3 linked regions of the Styela clava genome follow. The protein of the gene in region 1 purifies or fractionates together with the protein of each later gene. This does not show direct contact. Links are inferred from orthologs where the notes say so. Each region holds a gene or a part of one and is shown in the gene's direction. Other genes may lie near its edges. The genes, in order: protein AATF-like, nucleolar protein 10-like and neuroguidin-like.

What was found.
Region 2: the proteins of protein AATF-like (region 1) and nucleolar protein 10-like purify together in Homo sapiens (affinity purification with mass spectrometry; 4 studies listed by BioGRID and IntAct, counting the BioPlex papers as one, with this or other methods). This does not show direct contact. The link is inferred for Styela clava from reciprocal best matches to the Homo sapiens genes AATF and NOL10.
Region 3: the proteins of protein AATF-like (region 1) and neuroguidin-like purify together in Homo sapiens (affinity purification with mass spectrometry; 3 studies listed by BioGRID and IntAct, with this or other methods). This does not show direct contact. The link is inferred for Styela clava from reciprocal best matches to the Homo sapiens genes AATF and NGDN.

Annotation. Positions count from the first base shown.
Region 1 is NC_135257.1:13,444,729-13,455,826, reverse strand, and holds the start of protein AATF-like, read left to right. Parts: upstream 1-5,709; 5' UTR 5,710-5,763; coding exon 5,764-5,845; intron 5,846-6,914; coding exon 6,915-7,123; intron 7,124-7,687; coding exon 7,688-7,752; intron 7,753-7,847; coding exon 7,848-8,035; intron 8,036-8,665; coding exon 8,666-8,894; intron 8,895-9,287; coding exon 9,288-9,432; intron 9,433-9,534; coding exon 9,535-9,672; intron 9,673-10,150; coding exon 10,151-10,308; intron 10,309-10,721; coding exon 10,722-10,802; intron 10,803-11,098. Other genes in the region: protein Red-like, read left to right, coding at 3,504-5,090. UniProt on the Homo sapiens protein: Part of the small subunit (SSU) processome, first precursor of the small eukaryotic ribosomal subunit.
Region 2 is NC_135264.1:4,567,522-4,578,194, reverse strand, and holds the start of nucleolar protein 10-like, read left to right. Parts: upstream 1-6,046; 5' UTR 6,047-6,117; coding exon 6,118-6,183; intron 6,184-6,494; coding exon 6,495-6,639; intron 6,640-7,770; coding exon 7,771-7,848; intron 7,849-7,919; coding exon 7,920-7,957; intron 7,958-8,904; coding exon 8,905-9,041; intron 9,042-9,325; coding exon 9,326-9,391; intron 9,392-10,398; coding exon 10,399-10,545; intron 10,546-10,673.
Region 3 is NC_135251.1:17,728,040-17,737,843, forward strand, and holds neuroguidin-like, read left to right. Parts: upstream 1-6,601; 5' UTR 6,602-6,763; coding exon 6,764-7,660; 3' UTR 7,661-7,662; downstream 7,663-9,804. Other genes in the region: 2Fe-2S ferredoxin-like, read left to right, coding at 8,616-9,212. UniProt on the Homo sapiens protein: Part of the small subunit (SSU) processome, first precursor of the small eukaryotic ribosomal subunit.

The DNA of each region.
Region 1 (11,098 bases):
TCACAGAGGTGTATGGTATGCATATCTGCATGTTGTGATCACAATACTGCAGTCTGGCAACAGCAGCAGTTAATACTGTAATACCGGTACAGTAATATGAGACTACTGGGCTATGGTACATACTAATATCTGAATACAGTAAGTTATTGTAAGTCATTATTTACACTTAGTGTTACTAGAAAAATTAGGGTCTCATGTAGGGTGGTGTAGCCAATCTGCGGACGATTTCATTCAAACCGCTATAAAACAAAAACCAATATTTCTAACCCGTTAATTTTTTCACCGTAAGTGCATTGGCATTTATTCTACACGCTGAACTTCGAATTAACTTTCTACGACCAGGGGTTAAAGCTATACAAACCACCAAAGTACGACACTCTGAAGACGTATTTGCGACCGAACGACCAGTGTGCGATCACGGATTTCAAGCCTTGAACATCGTTTCTGCTGTGTCGAGACTGGGGCATACGCAGCCATGCGTGAAAAAATGGGCTTCTAATTGCATTTCTGACCGTTATATATTTTAAGAACACGGTTATTTCAAACAAAATTCTTCAAATTATAAACAAAGCACCGCATCACAACAATCAAACAGACAAAAACACGGTGGTCGCAAATTAGTTGACAAAGATATTATTGACGTATTGGAAATGCGCACCCCCCTACTCCCCCTCCTTTGAAGGTAGAAACGCGAAACTTTAAAGATGGTTGAAAGAAACACAACTCTACCCACCTGCCAAGTTTCATCTCTTTATCTCTTATATTTGTATGGATTTTCAAGCTTTTTTGAGGGAACAATGGGTAGTTGGCGACATGGTAAAATGGTCCGTTTTTTTTCTTCGGTCAGGTTTTCGGTCGTAACTTTTTTATTTGTGGCCGCATTTTAGTGTCTTTTCGCAGAGCTACGAGGGATAAGTGGACGATAACGTGTGAGAAATATCGTCGCGGTTCGTTAATTTTTTCGGCATTAATTTAATCGATGAAGTTGATGGTCGCAAAGTGGGTAAGCCACCCTACTTTCCTACCTAACGTACTTCTAGTAGGCGTAGCATAACAATTTTTTCACGTGTCAATCCTGAGGTGACTTCAGGACATATTTGATATTCCTAAACTTTTTCTCGTAAAATCTAACCTATCTATTCGATGATGCCCCAATAGCAAACTCTATTTCTGATTTAAACTAAATTCAGAAATTATTAACCAAATGCTGAAATGGCGTTATTTATTTTGAGTTATACAGATATCCTATTGGCAGATTGGTGAACTGTTTATCCGCCATTTAACATTGAGACATTTGATTCAATGATGTTACTTCAGGCCATAGGAGTGCAGTCGGTCATAATTAAAAAATGTTGCCCCTTCTCCACATTCATGGATATTCATTTTGTGCTGTCATATCATAAACATTGTGAAACTAATTGAGCAAATTTCAAACGGCATCAGGGATGGCCAATACCGAATAATTTACTATTTCGAATACATTCAAAATTATTATTTAAGTTTCGAATACTTCGAAAATAAATGCAAGCTTATCTTTATGGCGGAATTAGCATACAATAAACAATGGAATTACCGTTACCTACAAGCTGGCTACCAGAAAATTTATATCCGCCGATTGCCGTGATATTTTATAGTAGTATGCCCTTTTTATTTTCGTAAGTACGAGAGTGCGAATCAAAATTAATTATAATAGGGCAGTTTACCATTAGTTTTGTGTTTTTGATTGCTGTGGTATTTTGAAACATTTTATTCTTCGTAAGACGAGGCATTGATGAGTTAGGCTACATCGAACAAAAGTAAATTAATACGAAGGCATTTTAAATGCTGTTATCAGTCATGGATTTACGGTAAATACTTTGCACAACCGATAATTCCATACTTTTAACAATCATTATCAAAACTATTTGCCGAAAGTGGGTAAAGGTATAAATTATTTTTTTGTGAGTACGAAAGTGTGAATCAAAAATTAATTATAATCCAGCATTTTACCACACATTATATTTCTACAGATACCGCGTTATTTTAAAGTTGTAATGCTTTTGTATTTTGTAATTATAATCAAGCAGTTACCACACATTTTATGTTCACAGATGGTCGCCGTATCTTAGAGTAGTAATGCATTAATTTATTCGCGAGTCTGCAAAACTATGTGTTACGTTAAAAACAATTAAATTAATACAATAACAATAAGTCATTTTAAATGCTGTTGTCGGTCATGGATTTGAATATTTTGCAACATATAATCATCTTAGTTAAAAGTCCATACTTTCAACTATCATTATCAAAATTATTATTTTTCCGTGAGTACGAATTAATAAATCAAAGTTAATTCTAATCGGGCAGTCAACCACACATTTTATGTCCACAGATTGCCGTGGTATTTTGGAGTTGTATCAATATTTGTTTTTCGTAAGTACTGTAATAGGTTTAAAAAATTAATTATAATTGGCCAGTGCACCACACCATTCAATGCTGCAGATTGTCGGTAATACTTTTATTTTTTCGTTAGTTGACGCAACCACGAGTTAGGTTAATTATTAAACAAAATTAAATTAATACGACAAGGCATTTTAAATGCTGTTATTGTTCATGAATTTGAATATTTTGTCGCAACGGAAAATCATCATAATAAAAAGTCGATACTTTTGACTATCATTATCAAAATACGGTATTTGCCAAAAGTGTGAAAATGTTTAAAGGATTTTTTCCAATAAATCAACTCGTTTTTTAAGACATGAGACAATTTATTGGGTGTTGTAATTTGTAACAAAGTGCACGACTTTATTTAACTTATTTATTATCTGACTATTTGTATTTATGTGACTTCCTTGACTTAATACAAATGAATCCGTAAATTAGAAGCATTGCAAGGGGATGGCGATAGTGCCAATCTTGCGACCATGCAAATGTGTCGCAACAATAAGGGCGCACGCTCGCACAGAAGATAATGAACAATCAAAGTGTCGATACTATTTCACCACCATTGCATTACGCGACAAAGCGTGGAAATCGGCATATACAAGTTTAAGCCATCCATCTTCATTTAAACTGGAATCTCTTTCAGTTATAGGATAGGATAGAATTTACCTATTTATCCCGGGGGAGAGGAAAGCCGATAAGAAGGCTTATTCATATGGCGAACCACGGCCTCTCGTCCGGTTACCATTCCAAGTCGGGTATGGTATGGGATTAGTTATATTGTTTGTTTTCGGAAGCATGGACTTGGTGGTGGAGGAAGCCGTAACCGACCAGCGGTTACGTGAACCACCCAACGACGGCGAGAAGTCCAGCAATCCTCTCGCACATAACCATCCCTGCATGGGATTCGAACCTGCGAACCCACGCAGAGTAATTAGAGGTGCGGTGGCGAGCGTATTCCTAACGCTTAGCCCGTTGAGCCACAACGCCGCGCCGTTATGTCAGTGACAGTTCAATACTCAGCCATTCATTTTTTTTTTTATATTTTATAAATACTGTTGAACTAATTTTATCAATAAAGCATTATGGCAAATGAAGAATTTTCTAATCCTCTGCCCCCTGAGCATTATCATGAGACTGATGGCAATGTTAATGAACAACCTCTAACCAATGCAGACTTTCGAAAATTTTTGACGACCCCTAAAGCTGGTGGTGAAAAAACTCACGATGATCGAGCAAAACGAGTCTCAGCGTCCCAATCAGAATTTGATTCAGAAGATCATGAATCGGCTGCTGAAAAAAGAAGAAAAAAGAAAAGTTTGTATGCAAAACTTAAAAAGCAAGAAATGGAAAGGCAGGCTGAACTTCAAAAGAAATATAGAGATCGAGCAAAAGAGAGGAGAGAAGGTAAAGGAGATTATGCTGAATCTGATCTTATCAATACAACTGCTAATTACAAAACCGTTGGCCCAAGTGCTGAAGCGGACCGAACTTCCGCTGAGAAAAGAAGACAAGTCATCCAAGAATCAAAATATCTTGGAGGTGACATGGCTCATACTCACTTGGTAAAAGGTCTCGATTTCGCTCTTTTACAAAAGGTTCGAGCTGAGATATCGACAAAAGAACGAGAGGACGAAGAACTTGATAAAGTTTTATCTGAAGACATAGAAAACACGAAAGAAGAACAACAGCAGCAACAGAAAGAAGTGGTTACGTTCAAAACAAAAATGGCAAAAAACATACACAGACTTGTCTTCCAGCCTCAAATGAAACTAAGAAATGAATTGTTTTTGCCGGGACGAATGGCGTACGTTTTTCAAGTCGATGATGAGTTTGCAGACACAGATATTCCCACTACTCTGCTTCGTAGTAAAGCAGACTGCCCAACACTCGAGTCTCAAACAACATTATCAACTAACGATATTGTTATTAATAAACTGACTCAGATATTGTCATATTTACGTCAAGGTGCTCGCGAAAAGCATAGAAAGAAGAAAGATAGAAAGATAAAGACTGAAAATGATAGGCCACATAAAAGACCCATTGAAGCAGACATGGGCATATTTGATGATATTGGTGAATATGTTCCTACTCTAAAAAAGAACAGAAGCAAGCCTGCAAAAAATGCTCATTCTTATTTTGAGAAACCTAAAATGGAAGAAGAAATGGTTGAATCAAAACAAGCTGTTGCTGCTTCAGTGAAAAATTTTGTAAAAAATGTCAATGAAAAATATGCAGGGTCGTCACAACCAGACCAAACCAAAGAAACTAAAAAGCAAAAGAAAGAGTCTGGCAAAGGCAATCCACTCATTGGCACAGCGGGGGCATCTGACAGTTACATGGAATGCTATCCATCAGCGCAATACAATTTATCAGGCGTAGGAGACGATAGTGATGATGAAGCAGATTACAGTAAAATGGATCAAGGTAGTAAGAAAGGTCCAGTTGGAAGATGGGACTTTGATACTCAAGAAGAATATAGTAATTACATGTCTCAGAAAGAAGCAATGCCTAAAGCTGCCTTCCAGTATGGAATAAAAATGACAGGAGGTCGAAAAACAAGACGAACCAAGGAGCAGAATGAAAAACAAAAATTGAATCGCGAACTGATGCAAATCAATCAAATTATTGAAAAGCGAAAGGGTGGAGATTCGAATTATAAGAAATATTAACTATATATTATCAAGTTATAAGCATTACTTTGATCATAAAAAAATTCAAGGTTGAACTTGTGAGAATTACTGTATTTGCCAATGTTTTCATCATGTTGAATGTCTGTTTGTTAAAAGTGATATTCTCATATCATTATTTTGTAAATTGATTTGTGTATATATAAATGGATAGACAAGTATAGAATGTGTAATTTGTCGTAACCGTATTATTTTAATGAGTGCATATTTTGGAATTTTTGCCTTTGAATGGAGTTTCTTATATTTGATTATGATTGTGGTTTGTATCATTTAGTCACATCTTTGCCACAAACTGGTACTGTAGTTCAAATGGATGCTCTTCTGTAACTGATCTCATAATTCTGATATTTAGGTTTGAATTTTCTGAATGTTACAATAAAAAGTTGTTGAATTAATGATTGTGACGATAAAATCCAATAAAGTACTTACATACCCACTTTTCTCAAGAGTTTTTGTTCTTTTCTCCTAAAATTCATTAAAATGCATGGAGACTGCCACTATCTGAAATTTTACATTGGGCATTCATAAATGTTTGTTAATAATGTCAATCGAAGGGTATCGACCTTTATCAGTTTATTGAATGTTTGCTTTTTTTATTTAGAAAACCAAGTACAAAATCAAGTTTAAAGTATACATAACAATTTTAAATGTCATCATGACATCTTTAGCTGAACAACTTGCTAGGCTTTTCGATCCGAGTGTGAAGAGCATTGACCCAGAAGATGATATTTATGAAGGTACTTGTGATATAACACTCAATGCATTACTGTTCACTTTATGCACATTTTTTTGCTAAAACTGTGATGCACTTCTACAGTTGTGGTTGTGCTATGGCACCTAAAGACTTAAATAGACCTGACCATTTAGGGGTGTTTTTTGGCTTGCTACTGAGTTGCTGGGTACCTACATACTCATAATATTCTTTGACTGAACGCTATAACCCAGGGGGGCACAACCTGCAGCCGTACGGCCGCATGCGGCTTTCGCAGGTAAAATGTGCAGCTGTGCTGGTGTGTTACTGAAAAATAATTTATGTTTTATGTTGGCGCTTGAGTGTTACGAAAAATCATATCATTACTTGTGTCTGTAATGGAAATAAATTATCAGTATTATAAAAAAGTAACAGCTCTGAATATTCTTTCATATCTCTAAAGCGGGATATCGTTAACAGAGAAACGGTTCTTTAATTCCAGATGAAATTAGATTTTTTTGGCGTTTATGTAAAGAAGTTATTGTTCGAAACCTGATCGCGATGACGCCACTCGTTGAAAAAGTCAGCTTTACAAAAATGTAATGCCCCCGTCAAACGAGAAAAGGTTGTGCACCCCTGCTGTAACCAGTGACCCAGTATTATTATTATTACTCAAACATTGTTTGTGAATATTGTGGTTGGTATAAATTGAATTGTTTTCTCTTCAACTACTGAATCACTGTCACATTTCAATTATTCGGAGATTGAAACTTCTCCCTAAAAGGCTTTCAATTTTGTTTTGAAGATTTTTTTGGTTTAGAAAAATTGTATCCTTGATCATAGACTCCTTGTTCTTGAATTTCTTGAATTAAAATATATATAGATCATCTGTTTTGTTTGATATTTGCATTTCTACTTTATATAATGCAGTAATGCCAGAAACTAATAACTGTATGTGCTACCCAGTTTTGAAATGACTGTACTTTATGGGTTTAGCATATCTGACCGAAATGTTACTCCATGATTGAAGTGACGAACTAAGTAAAACGATATATTACGACTATCTATACCTAATGAAAATTGTTGTATTTTTACATGGTAGAATTTTTGTTTAGAAACCAGAGCTAAAGTTGTAGAGAAAGATGATTTGAATAGTGATGCTGAAGATGGAACAGTTATTCAACATGTTCCTGGAATTGGCCGAAGAAAAATGCAGTCGCTCGAAGGCATGGGAGAGCTATATAGGGGTAAAGTTGTATCAAGGAATCAAACATCAGATGGTGATGGAAGTGAGTCTGGCAATGAAGATAACATTGAACTGGAGGTAAATATTGTTGCTATCATGAAGTGCATTAAGGTATTTAGATTACATTTCCGTTTTATTCTGTATCGTCAAGAATAGTGAGAAAAATCATGTACGATAGTAGAATTCTTTTGTAATTCGAATATCATGACCTCCAAATATCGTTTTTAGTCTTTATGAGAATATCAAATATCTTTGCTGTCGAGGTGTTTTTGACTGAAAATATTTTCCAGTTAGTGCATATCATAGACGAGATAGTCTGTGCAAGTGTGCAGCCACAGCAAGAATTAGGATAAAAATTGCGCTATAATTGTTTTTCATCCTCTGTTTCGATCCTGTCCGAGTATAAGGAAAAAATTTTGCATTTCTTGAACTTCACTATGTCTAAAAAAGCATTTATTTATTTATTAGTATCTCTACCTGATTTTATCGTTATCCTCGTGTCATTGTTGATAATATAGTTTGGTAGTGTAGGTTGGCTGTATTTATTCATGTGCTAGGACAAAAGTTTATCATTTGTCAAGTTTGGGTGATGAAAAATGTCTTTTTTAGAATGTGTTTTATATAATTGCAATTTATTTATAGAATGGGAATGCTGAAGATGAAAATATTGACAGTGGAGATGATCAAACTGATGAAGATATTGAGAGGTATATTCTTTTACTTCTATTATGTTGTTTTCTATATCTATTGACATCCTGTATCCAAATTCTTGATTTGAATATGTTTTTCACTACTAATGCAGAGAAATGAATGGTGATACTAGCTATAATAGTGAAGTTGGAGACATTATGCTAGATGAAGATGATGGAATGGATGAAGAAATTGATTCTGATGAAGCCGATGGAGATGGCGATGACAGTTTAAAAATATTTCAAAATAGGAAAAAGGCTGATCCATTATTAAAATCGAGAGCTACTAGAAATCAATTTTGTGAGATTACTTACGTTTCTTTTATTAATTAAAATTTGTTAGTTTTATCTGCCAATCTGGTTAATTCTAATATTCATCTAATGTTGGACAATATTTTTGATGGGAATGACAAATTGATTGGATTATGTAATTGTTTGGTCATACTTATATCATTAGAGCGAAGCCCTATGATGGCTAGAGTTTTGGGCTCAACTATATTGGCATTAAAGATCCATGGTTCGAACCTATGATCACCACCTCACTCAGGGTGTAATAAGGTGAATGATTGAGGTCCTTAAGAAAAAAGCAGCTGTTTACATATTGGTGTAATAGAGACTTGTATAGAGCTTTGTTTAAAGTGAAAGACGTCATATAACGAAAACGATACCTGAATGTATTGTACAATACTTATCTACGGTATATTCGCTAAAATTTCATTTGCTGCACAATGTAGTAGGGCCATAACTTTTCTGTTTGCTTACCTCACATTTTGTATAAGAGCACACTTTTTACTGTTAGTTCAAAGTTATCGATGCTCTTTGTCGAGGATAAACATAAACAAATGATAGATGTGAACAGACAGATATTGACTATTTGACTTTGCGAATAAATTCAATTTGTTTTTTTGAGAATTTTTTTTATATTTTTTAGGTTTGTGGGAAAATATGCTTGAAGCTCGAATCAAATTTCAGAAGATACTTACAATATCTAACAGATTACCTCAATATGATAAGATGGAACTATTTAAAACTGAATTACCAGCTTCTCTTTCATCTGCGGATAAAATTTTGTCTAATCTTTTATACAAATTGTTAGAATTAGAAAGGAGACTTCTCACTCAAAATCCTGAAACTCAGTCAATAGCAGATTCTAAAATCAGGTATGTTTATTGTCAAAAACCCTAAATTGAATACATTCATGGTACCTAAATCTCAGTGATACGTTAGCTTTAGTATGTGAAATTGTTAGTTTTTTTCAATAGTATTAAATAATGAATTTTATTGAAGTATCTCCAAGTTTATCGTCATCAAAATCTGAAGTTTTTGCACTGGTATATTGAAATTTTAATCGTCTGGATCTGCTGTTGCAGCAGTAACATTATGCGATCATATTGCTCTATTTATTTTATAATGCTTGGGACTTGAATGACACTACAAAATCACAGTGCACATTGAAGAGATATATCTTGTGTAATGTTCCCATTGACTGACACACATCAATAGAAATGTTGTGGGTAGTCATCTCTAAATTTATTGTTATTTTTTATGCATAGTAATAACAAGCGGAAAAGTACAACGTCGATGGAAGAGGTGAATGATATGATCCAAGACAGATTTACTTCATATAAAACTCATAGGAATAAAGTACTGAAGTTGTGGTATGATAAAACAAGATTAACAGCGACATCAAAATCAAAGGTATACATACGTAAATCAGTATTCGTCATATTTGTAGAGTTAAGAATATCATAATGTTTTACTTTACCTCTTTCATAACAATTATGACTCTTTATATTTCAGTCATTCTCAAATTTTGAACGGTCGACAGTTTCTCAGATAGAAGATATATTACAAGACCGTGAAAGATTAATCAAGCGGACACAATTGAAAAGAACGAACTATCGTATACTGGGAACGACTCAGTCTAATAAACTAGAGGTCTGTGAAATATTGTGGTTTAGTATGTTAAATTTTTGGTCCAGAATTTGGTTTGAGATGTTGGTATAAGGAGTTATGTGTGAAAGGATTCCTAAGCTGGTTACGTCTTGACTCCTTCAGCATCCGTATCCATCAATCTCGAATAATTACGGGTAACTCAGCTATTTCCAAAGCTGATCTGGACTGGTGATTGGGCATTAATCTTTTTTGGTTCGCAACATGGATATGCTGTCTTATTGAATTTCTACCTTGGAATAAAAATGGAAAGTCCTAATAAATATAATTCACAATATATTTGTTTTTCAAAGACAATTTATTTTAGTATCATGTTGCCTTAAGATCAAAGAAGGCACGAATAATTGAACAGAGTTGTGTGCCAAGCTTCAGTCCTTTACTCATATCAGGTCTATGTTATTGACTTCACCCATCCCTGTCAACTGTTGCTTTTTGCCCTTTAGCTTTTGTTTTCAATCAATAGACACCTGTTGAAGATGCCGACAACCACAGTAGTCATTTAAAAGAATATCTGCCTGAAATCTATGATGACGATGACTTTTATCACCAGTTACTTCGACAACTCATTGAACAAAAATCATCAGGACCTGGAGGTTCATCAGATCCAGTTGAACTTACGAGGTTTGTACATATTTGTAGCAATATCATATATAAAAATTTAATTGAATTGAAAATTAATTTTTATTTTTCATAAAATTTGATCATGCATTGAAGGTATCTGATGAATTTTATGAAAATGATTCAATAGTTTTAGTGAATGTCTATTCATGAATATTGCTTTCCTAAATTATTAAAAATAAATAAAATATTTTTGTGTTGTGGTGGTAAATTGTCTTGTCAAAGTGATCACTAAAGATTTTTTTTTTGAATTCCAATTTGAAATAATTTTCAAGGCAATGGTTAAAAGTACCATGAATATTGCTTTCCTAAATTATAAAAAATAAATGAAATATTTTTGTGTTGTGGTGGTAAATTGTCTTGTCAAAGTGATCACTAAAGATTTTTATGAATTCCAATTTGAAATAATTTTCAAGGCAATGGTTAAAAGTACAAAGATTACGGAGTAAAGCAAAGAAAAATGTTGACACAAAAGCAAGTAAAGGAAGAAAAATAAGGTATGAACTTGAGTATTTATTTCAAATTTTTGACTTCTCATTTATCTATCACAGTTTTTGGATTAATTACTTGAATTATGCAATTTGATTATGAGATTTGAGGACCCAATGCCAATGTTTTGAAGAGTTTTATTTGGAGTAGTCTGCTAGAAACTAGGGACACATTGAAAACGTTTTCTGGAGTGGAATTTAATTGATAATAAATTGACTCGCTTGATATACTATAAAAGTATTTACTTTTTTCCAGTGTTCTGTATTCTAAATCGCAATACAGATGATTATGAGACCATAATATG
Region 2 (10,673 bases), on another chromosome or scaffold:
ACTCTTGAACGATATTTTACATACGCGACCTGATACCAAAAAATTGTAAACAATTTTGTGCCCAAGTGCTTTTCGTACCTAGTAGAAGGGAAGACGATAATTATAATTAATCACCTCAAGTCACCATTTATTTTACAACAAATCAATACCCCGACCAACATCATAGCTAATATCGTTACCGGGAAATTCATAATTTTATTTACGGAATTTGCAAATTCAACACTCCACTTGACGATTTTGATGATGCCACGCCCTAATTAATACTGCAAGAAAAGCTTCAAAATGCAACAAATGTAGTCAATTCCGATGATGACTCCATCCATGGTCGAGTATAATGTTCACATTTTTGAAACATTATTTGGTCAAGGATGAAATGGATCACTAAAAATACACGCCGAGCTATTAGAAAGTCCATTAAAAGAAAGTATGGCCTGTCATTTCTTATCTGGTTATAAGTTTTTATACCGGCTTTTCAAAACTCTGACTCGCCATTTTCAAATCTATGCTATTTATATGGTACTCCCGTGGTATGTGAACCAAGATGGCGGACACACGAACGTAGTATGTGTACCAAGTTAGGGTCAGGCCATAACTTCAGGTGCGAATACTATAGGAGTCACCTGGCTAGTCCCCGAACTCGTAATAGAACTAAAATGAGGAAAATTTGAACAAAATTTTGGCCTAACCTGGTACACATACTACGTCCTGGTGTCCAACGTCTTGGTTCGCATATTACAGGAGTACCAATTATATAACTCGAATTTTCTGACGACCTAAAATTGCCGTTTTCACCATGTATCGAAAACGTCTTTGTAACTCTTAATTTCCGAAAATGATTTTGTATTCGGGTCATGCATGCGGAGGCTGGTAACTTTATTTTAGATATCTTATTTGGGTTGACGTTTCTACATTTACGGACTAGTGTCGGCACGCTTTTTGCAAAATGACAGTGGAGGCCGAGGGTGAATTCTCGCGTAATCCAAGCGATCGATTTACCGGCGTGAATTCCGTGCCCAAGCAAAGCGGTACAGATTATGTGGTATTGTACATACGAATAGTAAAATGGCATTCGAATATTTTAATATTGTATTCGCTATTCGAATATTTTGCACAGCCCTAGACCGGCCATGCTTAAAAAACTCATTTCGCAAAGATAGGTAGTAGAAAATGATAGCAAGATTGGAAGAGGTTGTGAACCGCGCTTTGTGAAATTTATATAAATCCATCGGACGGTTAAATATCAGTTATGACGTCATAATACTGCAAAAAAGCAATTTTCCGCGGAACACCCGGAGGTCTCTCGCCGTTTGAAAATCAATGATCTATAGCAGTGGCCGGCAACCTTTTTTCAGTAACGGACCGGTAAAGCCTGACCAAAATTTTGGCGGACCACCTTTATACAAACGAACTAATCTAATAATTAATATGCGTTAGAAAATGTATGTTGACAATACATTCAAAAACGAAGGTGATACTATTCACGTAACGTATTTCTTACGTTAAACCCACTTCGATCTTTCGTTTTTGTAATTGCCATTTTAAAAACCCAACCTCACATGAAGATAACAATGGCATTGTACGTTTTCATGTCACCTTTCTGCGGACCGGTAGTGACCTTTCCGCGGACCGGCGATGGGCCGCGGCCCGGTGGTTGCCGACTACTGATCTATAGTATATGAAGGAATTTGCATACAATAAACAATGGAATAACTGTTATCTACAACATGACTATATTACCATGCATTTCATATTTGCAGATTACTGCGATATATTTTTATATACCATGAGTTACGTTATCAGAATTAAATTAATACGGCAAGCATTTAAAATAGTGCTATCGGTCATAGATTTGAACATTTTGCGCAACACAAAATCATCCTAGTAAAAGTCCATACTTTTAAATACCAACCATTATCCAAATTATTTGCAAAAAGCGGGATAAAGTATAAATTATATTTCTGACTTGCGACAATTTTTTCGTGAGTACGTAAATACGAATGGATTTTTTTTATATTCGGGCACTTCAATGTCCGCATATATATCTTTTATTATTTTATAAATACGAAAATATGTATCAAGAATTAATTATAATCGGGCAGTTTACCACACATTTTAAGTCCATGGATCGCCGTTGTATTTTGTAAATACGAAAATAGGAATCAAAAATTAATAATAATCGCGCAGTTGACCACACATCTATGTACATAGATTGCCGTGATATTGTGCCCGAATATAATTTATTTTTGATTCCGTATTTCATTCCTTGAACTTAATATCTGTTTTTATAAATTTTGCAAGCAGTTCACGCACGAAGACTTTGAATAATGATGTATTAGTCAAATCGAAGTCCTGTTAGACCACTGGTTCTCAACCAATGGGCCATGGGCAATGTTCCCTTTAATTTTTGTAGCATGTGTGCGCAGAAATTTTGGTGTGTGCGCACTTTTTTGGAAATGACTAATATTTGTGCAAAAACCAATGAAGAAATTATGGCGTTCTAACTGGGTAATGGGTGGGCCAACAACAAACTTTCTCAACCTGCCAACCGAGAACATTGCTACATTACATCAAAATACGTCTGTGAGCAGTAAATCTATGCGTGTGCGCAGCCTCTGAAAGCTGTGTGCGCGCGCACACGCGCACACCTTAGAGGGAACACTGGCCATGGGCCACTGGTAAGCCTCAGAGGCATTTTGAGTTGGGCCACAAACATATTATAAATTACAAGGTTTGTTGATCTAGAACAGCTAGATATGAAAATATATATATATTAATTTGTTTGCACATTACATCAAAATTAAAAAGAATATAACGAGAATGTCATGGCCTTCAATTCGCCAGGCTCGAACTGAGCATAACATATAAAAAAATTAACAAAAAACGAATCCACGAGGACATTGTCTTATAAATACGAACAGAACAAACATTAAATTACCCAATTCCTAATATATTAAATTTTCAAGTATTCCTCACTATCCGTCGGAAGAAATTTCATCCACTTCTTCCTTTTAGTGTTCCTCTTTTTAGTGACTTTAACCACCTTATTATTCGCCGGAAGAAATTTCATTCACTTCTTTCTTTTACTGTTCATCTTTTTAGTGACTTCAACCACCTCATTATTCGTCGGAAGAAATTTCGTCCACTTCTTCCTTTTAGTGTTCAGCTTTTTAGTGACTTCAACCACCTCATTATTCGTCGGAAGAAATTTCATTCACTTCTTCCTTTTAGTGTTCAGCTTTTTAGTGACTTCGACCACCTCATTATTCGTCGGAAAAAATTTCATCCACTTCTTCCTTTTAGTGTTCAGCTTTTTAGTGACGTCAATCACCTTATTATTCGTCGGAAAAAATTTCATTCACTTCTTCTTTTTAGTGTTCAGCTTTTTAGTGACTTCAACCACCTCATTATTCGTCGGAAGAAATTTCATCCACTTCTTCCTTTTAGTGTTCAGCTTTTTAGTGACTTCAACCACCTCATTATTCGTCGAAAGAAATTTCATCCACTTCTTCCCTTTTAGTGTTCAGCTTTTTAGTGACTTCAACCACCTCATTATTCATCGGAAAAAATTTCATCCACTTCTTCCTTTTAGAGTTCAGCTTTTTAGTGACTTCGACCACCTCATTATTCGTCGGAAAAAATTTCATCCACTTCTTCCTTTTAGAGTTCAGCTTTTTAGTGACTTCGACCACCTCATTATTCGTCGGAAGAAATTTCATCCACCTCTTCTTTTTAGTGTTCAGCTTTTTAGTGACTTCAGCCACCTAACTACCCGTCGGAAGAAATTTCATCCACTTCTTCCTTTTAGTGTTCAGCCTTTTAGTGTTTTTTAATTTTTCACCTTTGGGAACACTTCAACTTCCGTTTTCCCTCCACTTCATCCGTTTCTTCCTTCAGCCTTTTAGTGTTGTCCCTCTGACTCTACAAGTTACCGGTAACTGTACCGTTAATACTGTACTGTCGGTTGTATTTATATGCTAGTAGTATCTTGGTATGATTGCATTGGTACCATCAGAGTATAATCTTATTTAGAACTGGTGCACTACAACAGCCTGGTAAACGTTGGGGATACCGGTACCGGTACGCTCGCCACCGCATCTCTGATTACCCTTCGTGGGATCGCAGGTTCGAATCCCATGCAGGGATGATCATGTGCGAGAGGATTGCTGGACTCCTCGCCGCCGTAGAGTGGTTCAGGTAACCGCTGGTCAGTTACGGCTTCCTCCACCATCAAGTCCATGCTCCTGAAAACAAATAACTGGCTAACTAATCCCATACCGTACCTGACCGCTGACCTGGACTGGTAACCGGACGAGAGGCCGTGATTCGCCATATGATTAAGCCGTTTTATCGGCTTTTCTCTTCCCCGGGATAAACATGTAAATCCTATTCTAGTGCAGTAGTGGGGCTGAGGGCACGGCACGGGTCTCATGTACGATTGTTTTGTACCTAACGTACTTCTAGTGGGCTTGGAAAAAAAATGTTCACCTGTCAATCCCAACCCCCACCTGACCACGCCATTCAAAAATTATGTCACAGTGACGTAATAGACCCCTTCCAGTACGGCACGCTATCCAAATTCCAAGAATTTCCCTCTATTTGGTTCAATAAACAAGCACTCATGTGTCTCACAAACGAGGAGTATCTGGCACGACGGCAGATGAGTCATATCGCGCCATGCTTGTCTCAATAATAATCTAAATTGACCGTGGCCATCACGCGACCAAAATTGCCGTTTTTTTTCTAAAAACTCTCGAATGCCACGGTAAAAATTTTTTCCTTTGGTAAATCGGATTATTTTTTCCCGAGGAATTCAATGATGACATTTTTAGGTTGCGCTTTTTTGTTGTATTTTGCGCAACCTCATTATACTGTATTTGTACCGATATTGAGGGACAACAATGTCCTGTCCAGACCTCTCCCAAAGAAGGGGTGTCTGATCATCAGTAAAATGGGTTTCTCTGAAACGAGACAATGCTGCTTGATCTGTATAGTGTGTTGTACTGCCATATACGATTTTCCGGTAATCAATTGAAGAAAAATTTTTTTATTCTAGCTTTCCCGAGTTTATAGCAAAAACGCTCAATTTTGGTCACATTTGTTAAGATTTATTCAGTCTTAATGATTTACGATGCGATCTGGTGCATCTTCCATAGTTCCAGATGCCCTCATTTCAGAGACAAATAGAATGTTTGTTTTATCGAAACAAATGTCGGGACATCTTGAAATCAGAGAACTGTCCCCTACTGCAGTACTTTCATTCTCATCCTGTCATTGTAGACCGGAAGTGTGTAACTGCAGTTACATCATAAAACATCCTGATATCCAGGTCCTGCTCTGGTACTTCAGCTCTTATTTCTGTTGTACACAACACTGTAACATATTATAGATATTTGAACTGCAGTATTGGTTACCTGGTTTTGCTCTACCAGTCTACTGGACATTGTTTCTGTGTTAGAACTCATAGTCACTTATGCCTTGAAAATAATTTTGAAATGTTGTATGTATACTATTTGTCATTGTTGACGAAATAAAATACTACTACTACTACTAGCCTACTACTTATCTCATTGTAATAGAGCGACTCTACTGAGACATAGACTTGAAAAACTGACAGTGAGATTTGATTTGAGATTCAATGATAATTTTCACATTTCCCAGTAAAATGCAATTTGTTATATGTCATTGTTTTCTAATACAGTAATTCCTCGCATTGGCAAATACTGCAATACACGATGAAGGTTCATTGGGAGTTATTACAATATTGCTAATTTATACAAATCAGTTCTTTTTGTCAATGTGAGCTTTGGTTATGCACTGCATTCTTTACTCAACTTGACTTGACTTGTCCTCCATTTTGAGATCAATGCCCAGTTTGTAATGGCAATCATTTTTATGTTATACAAGTCTTATGAAAGATATATTTGATTTCTATAAGTACCTACTGGTACCTTTCTTGCCGCCCCCAATCCCATATCTACAGACTAATTGAACTATGGCTAGTAATTTAACAAGAAAAGTTTTTAGTGTTTTGGTGTATTTTACAGATTCAAGATTTATATTCTTAGTTTCCAAGTTCTTTGAAATTCTGACAAGGTAATACAAAACAAAAGCTGTGGCATGCAGGTGACTAGCCCAAACAGTATCAAGATATATAATTTGAGCAGCGGAAATTCACTTCCACAAGTAAGTGCACCATTCAACTTTGATATTGGTTTTATTAATGAATTGACACAAGATTTATTGTCTTGTATATAGAATGTTTAATTTTTTTAGTGGATGTGTTCAAACATTGGTCATTTTATATAAATTAACAAATTAGAGATGCAAGTATTGCAGTACACACAGCTGTGTAAAATTGCTTGTAGTAAAATTGCTTCGATTGGGAGCAGTTCAAGATTTACAACAACTTATTGGATCAGGTTTTCTTTTGTGTCCTAATCTACATGTTGGTATTATTAATTAATAATCATCTTCCCGATTCTGTCTTCACTTAGTTTCTTTCTCAACAAAAAAAGCGAGCTCTTCTCAAAAAAGATGTCAGTTTACGTAGAAGAATCGAACTCATTCAAGATTTTACGATGCCAACTGTCTGTACATCAGTGCAAATGACAAGAGATGGAAATTATGTCTTTGTTGCAGGTGAGAAATTCTGTTTTCCTAGTAGAACGTTATGTTTCCAAACATATTTACAAAATCTACTGTATATAATAGCTTAGAAAGCCAAGAAAAAGATGAAATTCTATAAAAAGGAAATTACTAATCAAGTGATTTTGTTGATAAATATCTGAAATATTTAATTTGGCACGGACCATTGGCTACTGTAAAGCTAATATTATTTGGAAAAGTAATGGAAAATGTAAATCTAACTAAATCAGTGGTTCCAAACCTTTTGTTCGACTTTCCTTCCTTAATTAACTTTTCATTCCCTCCTCACTATGCATAGTCTACTTCTTGTTTCCAGTTTTTATTTCATATACAATGACGGAGCGACCCACACTCTAGCTTTCATACATTTTGAATAGTATATCTGTGTATAAATAAGCAGGCAGTACTATGGTGAATTATAAGGGAAAATATAATTAGGACTACGACTACCGGTATATGTAAATTTCCCCCCGAAAAAATAAAATAGATTGTATAAAATTTTCTCTCCAAAAACAATAAAATTCCATCCTGGTTTGAAGATGCCTTTTTGAAGTATAATATAATATTAGAAAATATATTAAAAAGCTGTCGAGTTCTCAGCTTGCTTTTATATATTAATCTGATTAGTAACATGAACAGTTAATAAGCACCGGAAGTTGCTTTCAATTCAGTTGATATTGGATTTAAGACACCAGTTCTCAACCAGTGGGACATGGCCCACTTCTGGGCCACAGAAACTTTTCCAGGCGGGCCACAAACCTTTTAAAAATTTTCAGTTATTGATAAATTAGTCAATCTTCGATTGCTTTAGCAATGAATTATGCTTTTTGGCACTGGGTGGTAATTTAAATTTTAATTAATAAAGTGGAGGTGTCCATCATTGCGAAAAGATTTTTTTCTTTTAGTTTTTCCCTTGCGTGAGAAAGGTAATGGTCACATGATTTTTGTGCAATGAAAGTGGGCCATAAAAGAATAAGGTTGAGAACCGCTGGTCTAAGTTCCATCTATCTATAATTGCGACTTCGAATTTACAAAAATTCTGTATGTCTGTCTGTCTGTCTGTAAGTCTGTCTGTGATATACTGATATTTTAATGAAACAAACAAAACCTCCTTTTGCTTTCAAGGAACCTACAAGCCAAGGATTCGTTGCTTTGATGTAAATCAACTTTCCCTGAAATTTGAAAGATGCCTTGATGCTGAAGGTAATTTTTAAATAATATTTCTCTCCGTCTATATGAAAGTATTTTTCTGATTTATCGAATTTTTTTTTCAGTTGTTTCATTTGAGGTTTTGTCAGAAGATTACTCGAAAGTAAGTAAGTTATTTTGTCATTTTTTTTTTAAATACCGCTTTAACTTTTTATTCGAATATACTTTTATAGAATTAAAGAAATTGTCTTCGATTGATTAACAAGCAACTGGCATTATGAAGCATAATATGTATCCAAATTTAATTGTCATTCAAATTTATATACATTTGCATATGGTTTTGATAATTTTTGAGAGATGAAAGTTGATCCTAACGGCACATATAGGACATGGGTAGATGTGCTCATGCCTGTACCAAGCATATTGATTCATATGGCCTATTGGTATTTGATATGAATATAACTTTGCTCATTAAATTGACATGCGATAAAATTTTTATCCGACTATAAGTGGTTTTTCAAGAATTGAGCGATTTTGTTATAAGCTTTATTATTCTTCTGTTCTTTGATTTATATCCAATTGGTAATATACCGTAAATGGAAACTCGCAAATAGAACTGATAACTATGATAACAGTGGGGTGTTACAAAGAAACTTAGAATGATGTATGGGCGAAAAAATTGTCTCACAGATTGGAGAAATACCAACTACATTACTAACTTTATGCTATATTAAACTACACACCACATTTTCTGCCGTGATAATTGTGGGAATCTGTCTTCTGGGTTTCACTGTGACTTGGAGAACTTTTGAGCTTCGAGTCAAATTCAACTAAGATTTACTTGATATATACGTGATATATTTGTTCATGTCAGTACTTTATGCAAACTTATATCAAATAAAAAAAATCACCAGGACCAACACAATTCATATGAATTATTGTATTCTAAGAAATCTTACTGCAACGAAAATATCATCCTTTTTAATTAGTTTTGTCTTAGAGTTTTCAAATTACGAATTTCTTTGATCAGAATCTATTAGGCTATTTAGTAAAGTATCTAAACTATTAGCTTTATCATACCATTTTGATTAAAATTGTTTTTAAATTTAGATTGTTATGTTATTGAATGACCGTTATGTGGAATTCCACTCACAAGAAGGAAGGTGGTACAGAGTAAGAATGCCAAAGTTTGGCCGGCACATGAAATATTATCCTGGAAATTGCGATTTGTATTTAGTTGGCACAGGGTAGGTTAAATGTTAAATTAAAATTTGTTTGGTAATAAGTTGAGAATAAATGGGATACATTCATAATTAGGCATTTTTGTAAATATATCCTCGTTGACAATAAATTTCTTCGTTATCGGATATAAATTTTATATTGTGTTTGTGTCATATCTCTACCTTTGAGAACAATTTGAAGCAAAAGTACTGGTCTAGTGCCTTGTTTGGAGAAGATGTGGATGAAAAAAAATATGAATATCGCTTCTCTACTCATTTAGTTGTCGTTTAATAAATACATTTTTTTTCAGACCTGAAATTTACAGACTTAATTTGGATCTTGGAAGATATTATCAATCATTCAAGACGAATGCTCTGTAAGTTGTGAAAAATCCATTTAATTTACAAATTTTACAAGAAAAAATAAAATGATGCAGCCCTGCAAATTAGTAAATATTACACATTCGTCTATTGTCGTACAAAAATATTTGTTATGAATTTATGATCGAGATACATGGATATACATACTGTGATACCTCCGTAGTTGAACATAATTCGTTCGGGATTGGTGTTCGAGTTTTGCCATAATCTTTGAACTTTTTTGCCATAAGAAACGATGTTAATTTTTTTGATCGGTCTTGCGCATTCCAAAATGCCTAAAATATTAATAAAACGTGTACCTAAATATCACTGAGTATGATAAAGATGAGCAGCCATTTTCCATTTCCTCAATTATTTGAGGATTTGCTTATTAATTGCTGTCACTCCCTGCACAACATTATTTTTCTCTGTCATTCCTCATTTTTCAATAATGTGGAAATGGTAGACTTTGCCATACCATACTGTAAGTAAGGCTTTACTTTCAACTCGATAGTTGTTCTCACTGTTTCCTCTTCTCCTTCCCTTTATCACTACTTTTCTTTGGAGCCATGATCAATGGCAAAAAGCACTATATAATAAAAATTTCTTGATTGTGTCATCCCGCTAACGTTTTTACTTAAAATGATGCTCGTTGAATGGCCAAGAGACTGCTGAAATGCGCGGTTCGGGGGCGTCACCTCACCTTGCTCGGCTCAGGTGTTTGAGCTTCGAATTGTCCATTCGAGTAACGCAGCATTCTCGACTCAAATTTTTTGGTCGACTACCGCATTGTTCAAGTGTTGAGTCTTTCGACTACAGAGATATCATTGTATTGAGCAAACAGTACCTTACAAGCAGATGCATGAACCATCCTGCATGTATATTCCTTCAACTTAATACTCTTTCATATGATTCAAATTCAAGAATCATAACATAATTTGAGCTCTAGTGAGTTACGTCTTACACAATTAGTATCTGTATTGCAATGCCAAAGTGTAGAAAAATATAATTCTTTACATTTCAGTGAGCTCAATGTATGTGATATAAATGATCACCATCATTTACTTGCCGTTGGTACATCTGATGGGAAAATTGAATGCTGGGATCCCAGATCACGACAAAGAGTTGGTATTCTTGATTGCGCAATGTCTGCTGCTGAAGAAAACAAAAGGTAATCATGTAAAATAGTCCCTACGGCTATAATTATTGGATTGGATAAAAATTGGCCATCCTAAACCTATGTAAATATAGGTGACAATGGTATATTTTGTATTATATACATGAATGAAAATATAGGGT
Region 3 (9,804 bases), on another chromosome or scaffold:
AAAATATTGAAAAATAAAAAAATTTTACTGTCGGGAAAACCTTTAAAATTAAAGTCAAAATTAGCACACTCAACCATTATCAATATTTCACGGTAATAGTGTTCCACGTCAAATTTTGATTATAAATTGATCCTATGGTTTGTTCCTCAAAAAATTTAAGATTCATATTACATAGTATTTCATCTAAAATATATTAAAAAATAAAAAAATTTTACCGTCGGGAAAGACTTTAAAATTAAAGTCAAAATTAGCACACTCGACCGTTATCAATATTTCACGGTAATGGTGTTCTACGTCAAATTTCAATTGTAAATTGGAAATGATCCTATGGTTTGTTCCTCAAAAAATTGAATAGTCATATTACATTGTAATTCATCTCAAAAATATTAGAAAATAAAAAAATTCTACCGTCGGGAAAGAATTTAAAATTAAAGTCAAAATTAGCACACTCAACCGTTATCAACATTCGCGGTAAAGGTGTTCCACGTCAAATTTTAATTGTAAATTGAAAATGATCCTATGGTTTGTTCCTCAAAAAATTTGATAGTCATATTACATAGTATTTCATTTAAAATATATTGAAAAATAAAAAAATTTTACCGTCGGGAAAGACTTTAAAATTAAAGTCAAAATTAGCATACTCGACCGTTATCAATATTTCACGGTAATGGTGTTCTAAGTCAAATTTTAATTGTGAATTGAAAATGATTTTATGGTTTGTTCCTCAAAAAATTTAATATTCATATTACATAGTATTTCATCTAAAAAATATTGAAAAATAAAAAAATTCTACCGTCGGGAAAGCCTTTCAAATTAAAGTCAAAATTAGCACACCCAACCATTATCAATATTTCGCGTTAATAGTGTTCCACGTTAAATTTTAATTGTAAATTGAAAATGATCCTATGGTTTGTTCCTTGTTGCATTTTGTCATAAAATACCATTATCGGGAATTGTGATTATCGTTAGACATAGGTAGATTCCGGTTTTATTTTAAAGTCTTTCCCCCCGGTAGAATTTTTTCAATATTTGATATTTGTAAGATAATTCATTATATAATATAATAAGCAAATTTGGTGATGTACAAACAAATAGAAAAGTTTCAATTCCTTGTTACATTTTGTCATAAAATACAATTATCGGGAAATATGATTATCGTTAGACATAGATAGATTCCGGTTTTATTTTAAAGTCTTTCCCCCCGGTAGAATTTTTTCAATATTTGATATTTGTAAGATAATTCATTATATAATATAATAAGCAAATTTGGTGATGTACAAACAAATAAAAAAGTTTCAATTCCTTGTTACATTTTGTCATAAAATACCATTATCGGGAAATATGATTATCGTTAGACATAGGTAGATTCCGGTATTATTTTGAAGTCTTTCCCCCCGGTAGAATTTTTTAATATTTGTAAGATAATTCACTATGTAAGATAATAAGCAATTTTCGTGATGTACAAATTGATAGAAAAGTTTCAATTCCTTGTTGCATTTTGTCATAAAATACCATTATCGGGAATTATGATTATCGTTAGACATAGGTAGATTCCGGTTTTATTTTAAAGTCTTTCCCCCCGGTAGAATTTTTTTATTTTTCAGTATTTATAAGATGAGTTACTATTGTATATAATAGGCAAATTTCGTGATGTACAAATTAATAGAAAAGATTCAATTCCTTGTTGCATTTTGTAATAAAATACCATTGTCGGGAAATAGAATTATCGTTGGACATAAGTAGATTTCGGTTTTATTTGAAAGTCTTTCCCCCCGGTAGAATTTTTTTATTTTTCAGTATTTATAAGATGAGTTACTATTTTATATAATAGGCAAATTTCGTGATGTACAAATTGATAGAAAAGATTCAATTCCTTGTTGCATTTTGTAATAAAATACCATTGTCGGGAAATAGAATTATCGTTGGACATAAGTAGATTTCGGTTTTATTTGAAAGTCTTTCCCCCCGGTAGAATTTTTTTATTTTTCAGTATTTATAAGATTATTCACTATTTCATATAATAGGCAAATTTCGTGATGTACAAATTGATAGAAAAGTTTCAATTCCTTGTTGCATTTTGTCATAAAATACCATTATCGGGAATTGTGATTATCGTTAGACATAGGTAGATTCCGGTTTTATTTTAAAGTCTTTCCCCCCGCTATAATTTTTTCAATATTTGATATTTGTAAGATAATTCATTATATAATATAATAAGCAAATTTGGTGATGTACAAACAAATAGAAAAGTTTCAATTCCTTGTTACATTTTGTCATAAAATACAATTATCGGGAAATATGATTATCGTTAGACATAGATAGATTCCGGTTTTATTTTAAAGTCTTTCTCCCCGGTAGAATTTTTTTATTTTTCAATATGTGAAAGATAATTCACTATATAATATAGTAAGCAAATTTCGTGATGTACAAACAAATAGAAAAGTTTCAATTCCTTGTTGCATTTTGTCATAAAATACCATAATCGGGAAATATGATTATCGTTAGACATAGGTAGATTCCGGTTTTATTTTAAAGTCTTTCCCCCCGGTAGAATTTTTTCAATATTCGATATTTGTAAGATAATTCATTATATAATATAATAAGCAAATTTCGTGATGTACAAACAAATAGAAAAATTTCAATTTCTTGTTGCATTTTGTCATAAATTACTATTATCGGGAATTATGATTATCGTCAGATATAGGTAGATTCCGGTTTTATTTTAAAGTCTTTCCCCCAGGTAATTTTTTTTTATTTTTTAGTATTTGTAAGATAATTCACTATATAATATATTAAACAAATTAATAGAAAAGTTTCAATTCTCTGTTGCATTTTGTCATAGAATACCATTGTCGGGAAATAGAATTATCTTTATACATAGGTACATTCTTTTTTTATTTTAAAGTCTTTCCCCCCGGTAGAATTTTTAAATTTTTCGTTATTTGTTGGATAATTGGATATATAATGTAATAAGTCGATTTCATGGCGTACAAAGTATTAGAAGTGCCGAAATCAGACTTCAAAGCCATCAAGACAATGTAACTCTTTGGGTAAATGTTACTTAATTTGCTTTTGAATTTGCTTGTTCAATCTTTATTTTAAAAGATGTATTTGTGCAAATCAGATTCGATTTGTTCATATCTCATTCTTATTGATGGAAATGAATAGGTTTGGTATTTCGCTTAGATATAATTTTTTTTTTGTTGTGAAACCTTCCTGTGAATTCATGCTTGTCCACCTATATATCTGGCAACAGTGATTAGAGATATCATTGTTCAGCTGATTTTGATTTATTTTCCCGGCAATTGTGGCTATTTTGTGCCATCAATTGCCGGACTTTGAGAGGTTCTGGCGCTGAGTTAAACATGGATATATGTAATTTAGTAATCTGTGAACGTTTAGGATGCCTTAACTTACGGTGAAACATTGTCAGAACGTCAGCCCACACTCGTGTGACGCTAGCCCACACTCGTAGGATGCCAGCCCACACTCGTGTGACGTTAGCCCACACTCGTGTGACGCTGGCCCACACTCGTTTTTGTCAGGCCATGCGAGGGGTACCGGTAACTGGGCCTTGCTTGGTATTGTATTTGCGTTGTGTATATCAGATATGGTCTCTATATTGTCAGAGTCACCAAGTTTTTATGTAATTACGTTTATAAAGTCAGTAAAATAGTTGGTTAACCCCTTGACGTCAGGCTGAGTGTGGGCTGAGCGAGTGTGGGCTGGGGTAACTTTGGTCCCACACTCACTCCAGCATTCGCTGACTCGCGTCTCGTGTGACCCAAAGTCTGAAAGTGACTACCGGTACGGTATACGTATACGGTATACCGGTAGTCACTTTGGTGTGACGGCGACGCTAGCCCACACTCGTTTTTGTTAGACTATACTCGGTTATAACTCGTCTGTGCTTGGTATTGAACATGCCTGGGATAGTTTCGGCTCGCGTGCCAAAATCAGATAAATTTAAGGACAAAATTCTTCCGCGTGCCGACCAAAATTAAAAACATACCGGTACCGGTACCTTTGCTACTTTCAAAGCAAACATACAAAATAATAAACCTTTTAAACATGTACAGACAGGTTCACTATTTGGGAAAATATCAGTCTGACAAATAGACTTGATTACTTTTTTTATTCAATATCAGTGAGACCTTTGCTGCTGCATTAACGCTGATAGATATTTTATATTGGGTTTGTATTTTCTAACTTTAAAATAAATACACGGACTATCGGTACTGGTTTCATCTTACAGGTTACTCCTATTACGAGACTTATGAAGTTCATAACTGAGAACAGAGATTAACAAGCATAATTATGTAGATGAAAATATGTAGAATTGTAGAGTAATGCAGTTGCAAAGTTTTTAAGGCCCCGTAAATTTTCGGGAACGGCATCCCAATCATGCAAGCAATAGTTCGTTTTGTGCATTTCTCTCTTGTTACCTTCCCTAATCGCTTATATTTCTTTTGAAATCATTTTAGAACAGTAAGTTAGCAAGTGACTATAACCAACGTGGGCTGTTCCATTTTTAAATCAAGCAGAAATGACAAAAAATGGTGGCACAGATGGTCTATATTATGTAAGAGTGTAGCCAAATGAATGCTGAGTGAATGCCAAATGAATTCTCGACCAAATTTCGCAAGAGCTCCATCATTTGTTACGTCACAATTTATTCTTTGTAGCCATATGTCATGAAAGGACAAAAAGAGTTTAAATAAATACCGGATTGTTAACATTCGAAAATGAACAAACGAACACCTATTTTCATCAGATAATTCATAGTCTTAAAACTTTTTATCTAAAGGAGAATGATCTCGTTTCCGAGGCCTCGCTCGCGTGCCGAATAAATGGGCTCGTGTGCCAATCTTGGCACGCGTGCCAGGGGTTTCCCACCCCTGGTCTATATCATCTATGGTCTGATGGTCTATATAGTCTATTATCGGAGCAACCAAGTTTTCATGGAATAACGTTTATAACGGTATAAAGTGAGTAAAATAGTTTGGTTAACCAGTTGACCGCAGCCAGTCTGGATTTCATGGCCTTTTTGAATGAGAAATCGGGCGTGCAGTCAGAAATTCCCGCGTGCAAATAGGAATTCCTGGCATGCAATTATAGCTCACGGTGTGCAAAACAACTGCGCCCGTTTGCAACTGACTTCGACATTAGATACCTCTCAATACATCCGCGTAAACTTACCGGTATTGGATAAAAATACGTTGAATCATTGCAAAAATGGACATCTGACCTTTGACCCCCAAACATTATTTCTACAGTTTGTCGCTAGTTTTGAGAGTGTTTGTGCGACTTTGGATACCGGTACTGCTCAGTACATCCGCGTAAAACTATTGGATAAAAAATACGTTGAATCAGAGCAAAATGGACATACTTTGTCAAAAATTTTGGGAGTGTATTTACGTAGAATTAATGGTTAAAAAATAGGTTAAAAAATTGACCAAGTTTGTCAAATTTGAAAATGAATTTCACTATGTTGTGTATTAATACCAATTGCTACCACTTCATTAAATGCAATTATTTTGACCTACAACCCCAAGGCCAATCAGAGTTAGGTCAGCATTTTTTGATGTATCACTGTCGTCAAATTTAGTATTAAAAAACATTATAGGATGCAAAAGGATAAATATTATAATTATCAACTATTAGAAATTTTTATATGTGTAAATATAATTAGATGGTTATCAGCCAGAGCCACTCGAATTTTCGTATAGAAATCCGCTGTACACAATGAATATGCTTGATCAGGAACTAAAAAGTTTTTAGAAATAAAAAATTCTGCTGAAACAGAGCTGTAACTGGCCAGCGTCGGTGAGGAGGCGATCTTTTCGCCTATAACTATTCTCACGGGATTCCTATCATTCAACACGATATGGTCTTTTTTGGTTCGCATTTCTCGATCAGGCCTAATCTTGCAAGCTAGTATTAGTCGACAATTGTGGAGTTATAATTTTTTGATATCTTCATATTACTGGATTATTGATTTAAAGACCATTTAAACCGATTTACATTTGTGAGCAATTGCAAATTTTCGGCGTGCAAAATGGAATTAGCTCGCGTGCATATTTGTGGAGCGCTAGCGCCCCCGGGCGTGCACCTGCCATGGAATCCAGTCTGGGACCGCAGGATGAATGTGGACTGGGGTGACTTCTGGTGCTCTGATGTGATAATGGTCGCATTCACCCTCATTCACTTATTGCTCATTTGCTCATTCACTCATTGCCACCCGTTTTTTAACCACTATCTTATTGCATTTACATCAAAATTAATTCTACATTTCTAACTGATAACGTAAAACACTTAAAGCGCTTTGCGCAGCTTTCTGCAAAATTGCAGATTAAAAAAGCCCTCATGACTCCAACTGTCAGCCTCTAGGTTGGTCGATACAAAAATACTCTGCTGAAATATGTTAGGTAGATCTGTAGATGCATCTGACTGTGATCTTGGGGTTATGTAGATTTTTCGTAAAAGTATTAATTGTCCTATAGAATTTAATTTATATTATGAAAAAACCTCTTACGCTAACAAAATTACTCATAGCTTGCGATTTGGTATGTGGTACCGTATATTTTTTAATCCTTAAAGTCTACTGACTGCTGGACCGATTGATACTTTTCTAACTTCATATTTTCATGGTTTTAAAGCAATGCTATTTTTGAAAATATCCTATAGGCACGATAATACTGTAATAATATATAAATAAAAATCTTGCATGGGCATAGACTAACGTACAACTTCTCCCGCAATCATGGATAATATAGACAAACTCTCTAGTGAGCTAATAGCCAAGGATGTACCAGCATTGGAGGATCTACTTAAAATGTTATCAACAGAAGCCCAATCAATGACAGAATTCGTGGATACTTTGTTACAAAGACTTGATGAAAATGAGTTGCCAACTGAGGGAGGAGTATCATTACTAGATGTAAAATATCATTCATTATTGAGTTATATCATAGATCTCGTATTTGTCACAAAAATGAAGATTCAGGGAGAAAATATTGCAGACTGTCATGCGAAAAATCGCTTGGTTGAAAACAGGACTGTGCTTGAAAAGTTAAATCCATTAGAACACAAAATTAAATACCAAATTGACAAACTGCTTCAGCAATCGACCCAAAATTTATTGAATGATCCACTGTCATTGAAACCTAATATTGATAATTTAGAAAGCAAAATTGATAACGATGAAAGTGGTAATTCAGATGATGAACAAGAACCTAAGAAATATGTTCCTCCACGAATTGCAGCTTCACATTATGATGTAGAAGATGGAAAAAGCGAGCAAGAAGACCGTCGATCAAGAGAGCGTGCTCTCAAGCGGTCTTCCATCATCATGGATCTCGCACAAGAAACTTCAGATGCTCCTTTTGAAATATCAGAGTATTCAGCAGGGAGAAAGCGGGTTCAAAAAGAAAGAGCAGAAAGAACAACTTATGAAGAAGCAAATCTCATCAGGATTAATCTAACAAAGAAACAAAAGAACGCTGAAAGACAGCTAATGAGACGGTCAGAGCTTGACACAATCACAAAGTTTGGCGATATTGGTGTTCTTGAGGGACGTCAGATAAAAAATAATAACAATAAAAGGAAAAGTACTGGAAAATATAATGGATCAAAAAAATGGAAAAAATTTAGAAAGTAAATTTAGGATTATGACAAAAATGAATTTAGATGATAATTCTTGGGTGGCATATTTTCCAATTTTAATAATACCAGCGAAAAAACTCAGATATACAGTGAGCGGTCTTTTTCATCATTATTTCTTACAGGGTTTCTGTCTTGTAGCATTCAATGTTCTGAATTTAATTTGAAAATAGGAAAAATCATATTCGAAACATTGCTTCATGATGTTGATTTGTCATTTCCAGGTTTTTAGTTATAGTCTTAGAGACTTAGAATTCATAGAAAGTTTGTTATTTGGAATTATCGTGCCAACCTTGTGTCTGTTAATAATCAATTGTTCAATAAAACTTAAATGAAGAATGCCCAGAAACCTGCACTGCAGATTTTTAAATTATGACCTAAACTTTTCAACTGATGTTTATTTTAAAGCAGTGGTTCTCAAACTGTGAGGCACCCCACAAGGAGTGCATAGACAATTTTTTGAGGGGGCGTGAAGCTAAATAAAAATTAAAATATTTGTTAGATCTTGTCCACCTTATTTTGGGTATTTGATTTCTTCATTTTGGATATTTCCGTATGTTCACGTATTTTCAACATGTTTTTTGAATAAAACATATTTTCGCCTTACTATCTGTCAATTGTAACTTATTGTTACCGGTAGTTATTTTTGAGGTGGGGTGCGAGACTTGATGAATTCTAATAAGAGGACCAGCTTAAAAAGCTTGAGAACCACTGTTTTAAAGCATCATTGGAGAAATTCTTTTTGTTTAAATTGAATTCCACTTACAATATACAAATTTATTCGAATCTACTTTAGATTCAATTCCTGTCTTGTGTTTTTGACTCACCACTTCAATATCGATATTTCCACAATCATGAATGTTATCAAATTATTTTTTTTTTTCGTTTAGTGGTTTTGCTATTTCACTAATTAATTTGTAATGTATGTGAGTTTTTATCTAAAGTAACACCAAATGCTTGGATTACGAACAACAGCACGGGCCTTGCGGTCATGGTGTAACAGGACTTTAACGAATTCAAGTGCAATGAAATCAGATTCAAAAACAATGTACTTTAGCAAAAAACTATCTTTTTCGAATATTAATAAATCCTGCCGTTCTCAATCTAACTTAAACTTTTGTGGAACAAATGAAAGAGATTATTCATCAACTGCAACTCAAGAACATGAAGGAGGAAGAGAAGAATCATCTCCAGAAACTGTTCAAATCACATATATAGACCGTGAAGGTGAAACCCATGTCATTGATGGTAAAGTTGGTGACAATGTCATGTATTTAGCCCAGAGGCATGATTTGGAGGTTGAAGGGGCATGTGAGGCATCGCTGGCATGTTGCACATGCCATGTTTATGTCAAGGATAAGTATTATGATATGTTGGAAGAACCAACAGAGGAAGAAGAGGACATGTTAGACCTTGCACCATTTCTTCAGGAAAATTCTAGACTTTCATGCCAAATAATACTTTCTAAAGAAATAAATGGAATTGAAGTTCAATTGCCATCAGCCACACGGAATTTTTATGTTGATGGTCATAAACCAAAGCCTCATTGATATTGAATTATTTGAATACCATTAAACCGGAGTAGGAGTATATAAATTCAAGCATATATTTTAAAATTCTAGAAATCGCAAAAGTTCTCATAGCACATAATAATTCAAGTCACCATGAAATGAAAGTTGGCTATCTAAGAAGCATTTAATCATGTTTCACTGTTTTATATTTTCAACGGACTGATCTTCATTACAACGGGTCGCGATGGCCTAGCCCTAGTGGTTAAAGCATTGGACTTTAGCATAATCTAATCATAAAAGGTTGAAAATCACGGGTTCAAATGTCATACTTACTCACCCAGTGCATAATAAATTGAGTAGGAAATTAATGGCTTGTACAGAGCCTTGTTCGTGATGGAAGGATATATATAATGTTGAATAAAAAAAAATATTAGATTGATCCATTTTAGTTAGTGCCTTTCTGTATTTATGGCCATATTAATGGCCTTCATTTGGTATATTATTTGCTATTGGGCGTAAAAATCGAGTTTGATGGTTTTGATGACTAACTAAGGGCTGGAGAATATAATCATGTTGGGTTTTTGAATTATTTGGGTGGGTATTCAATACTGCGAGTAATTACCTTATTGGT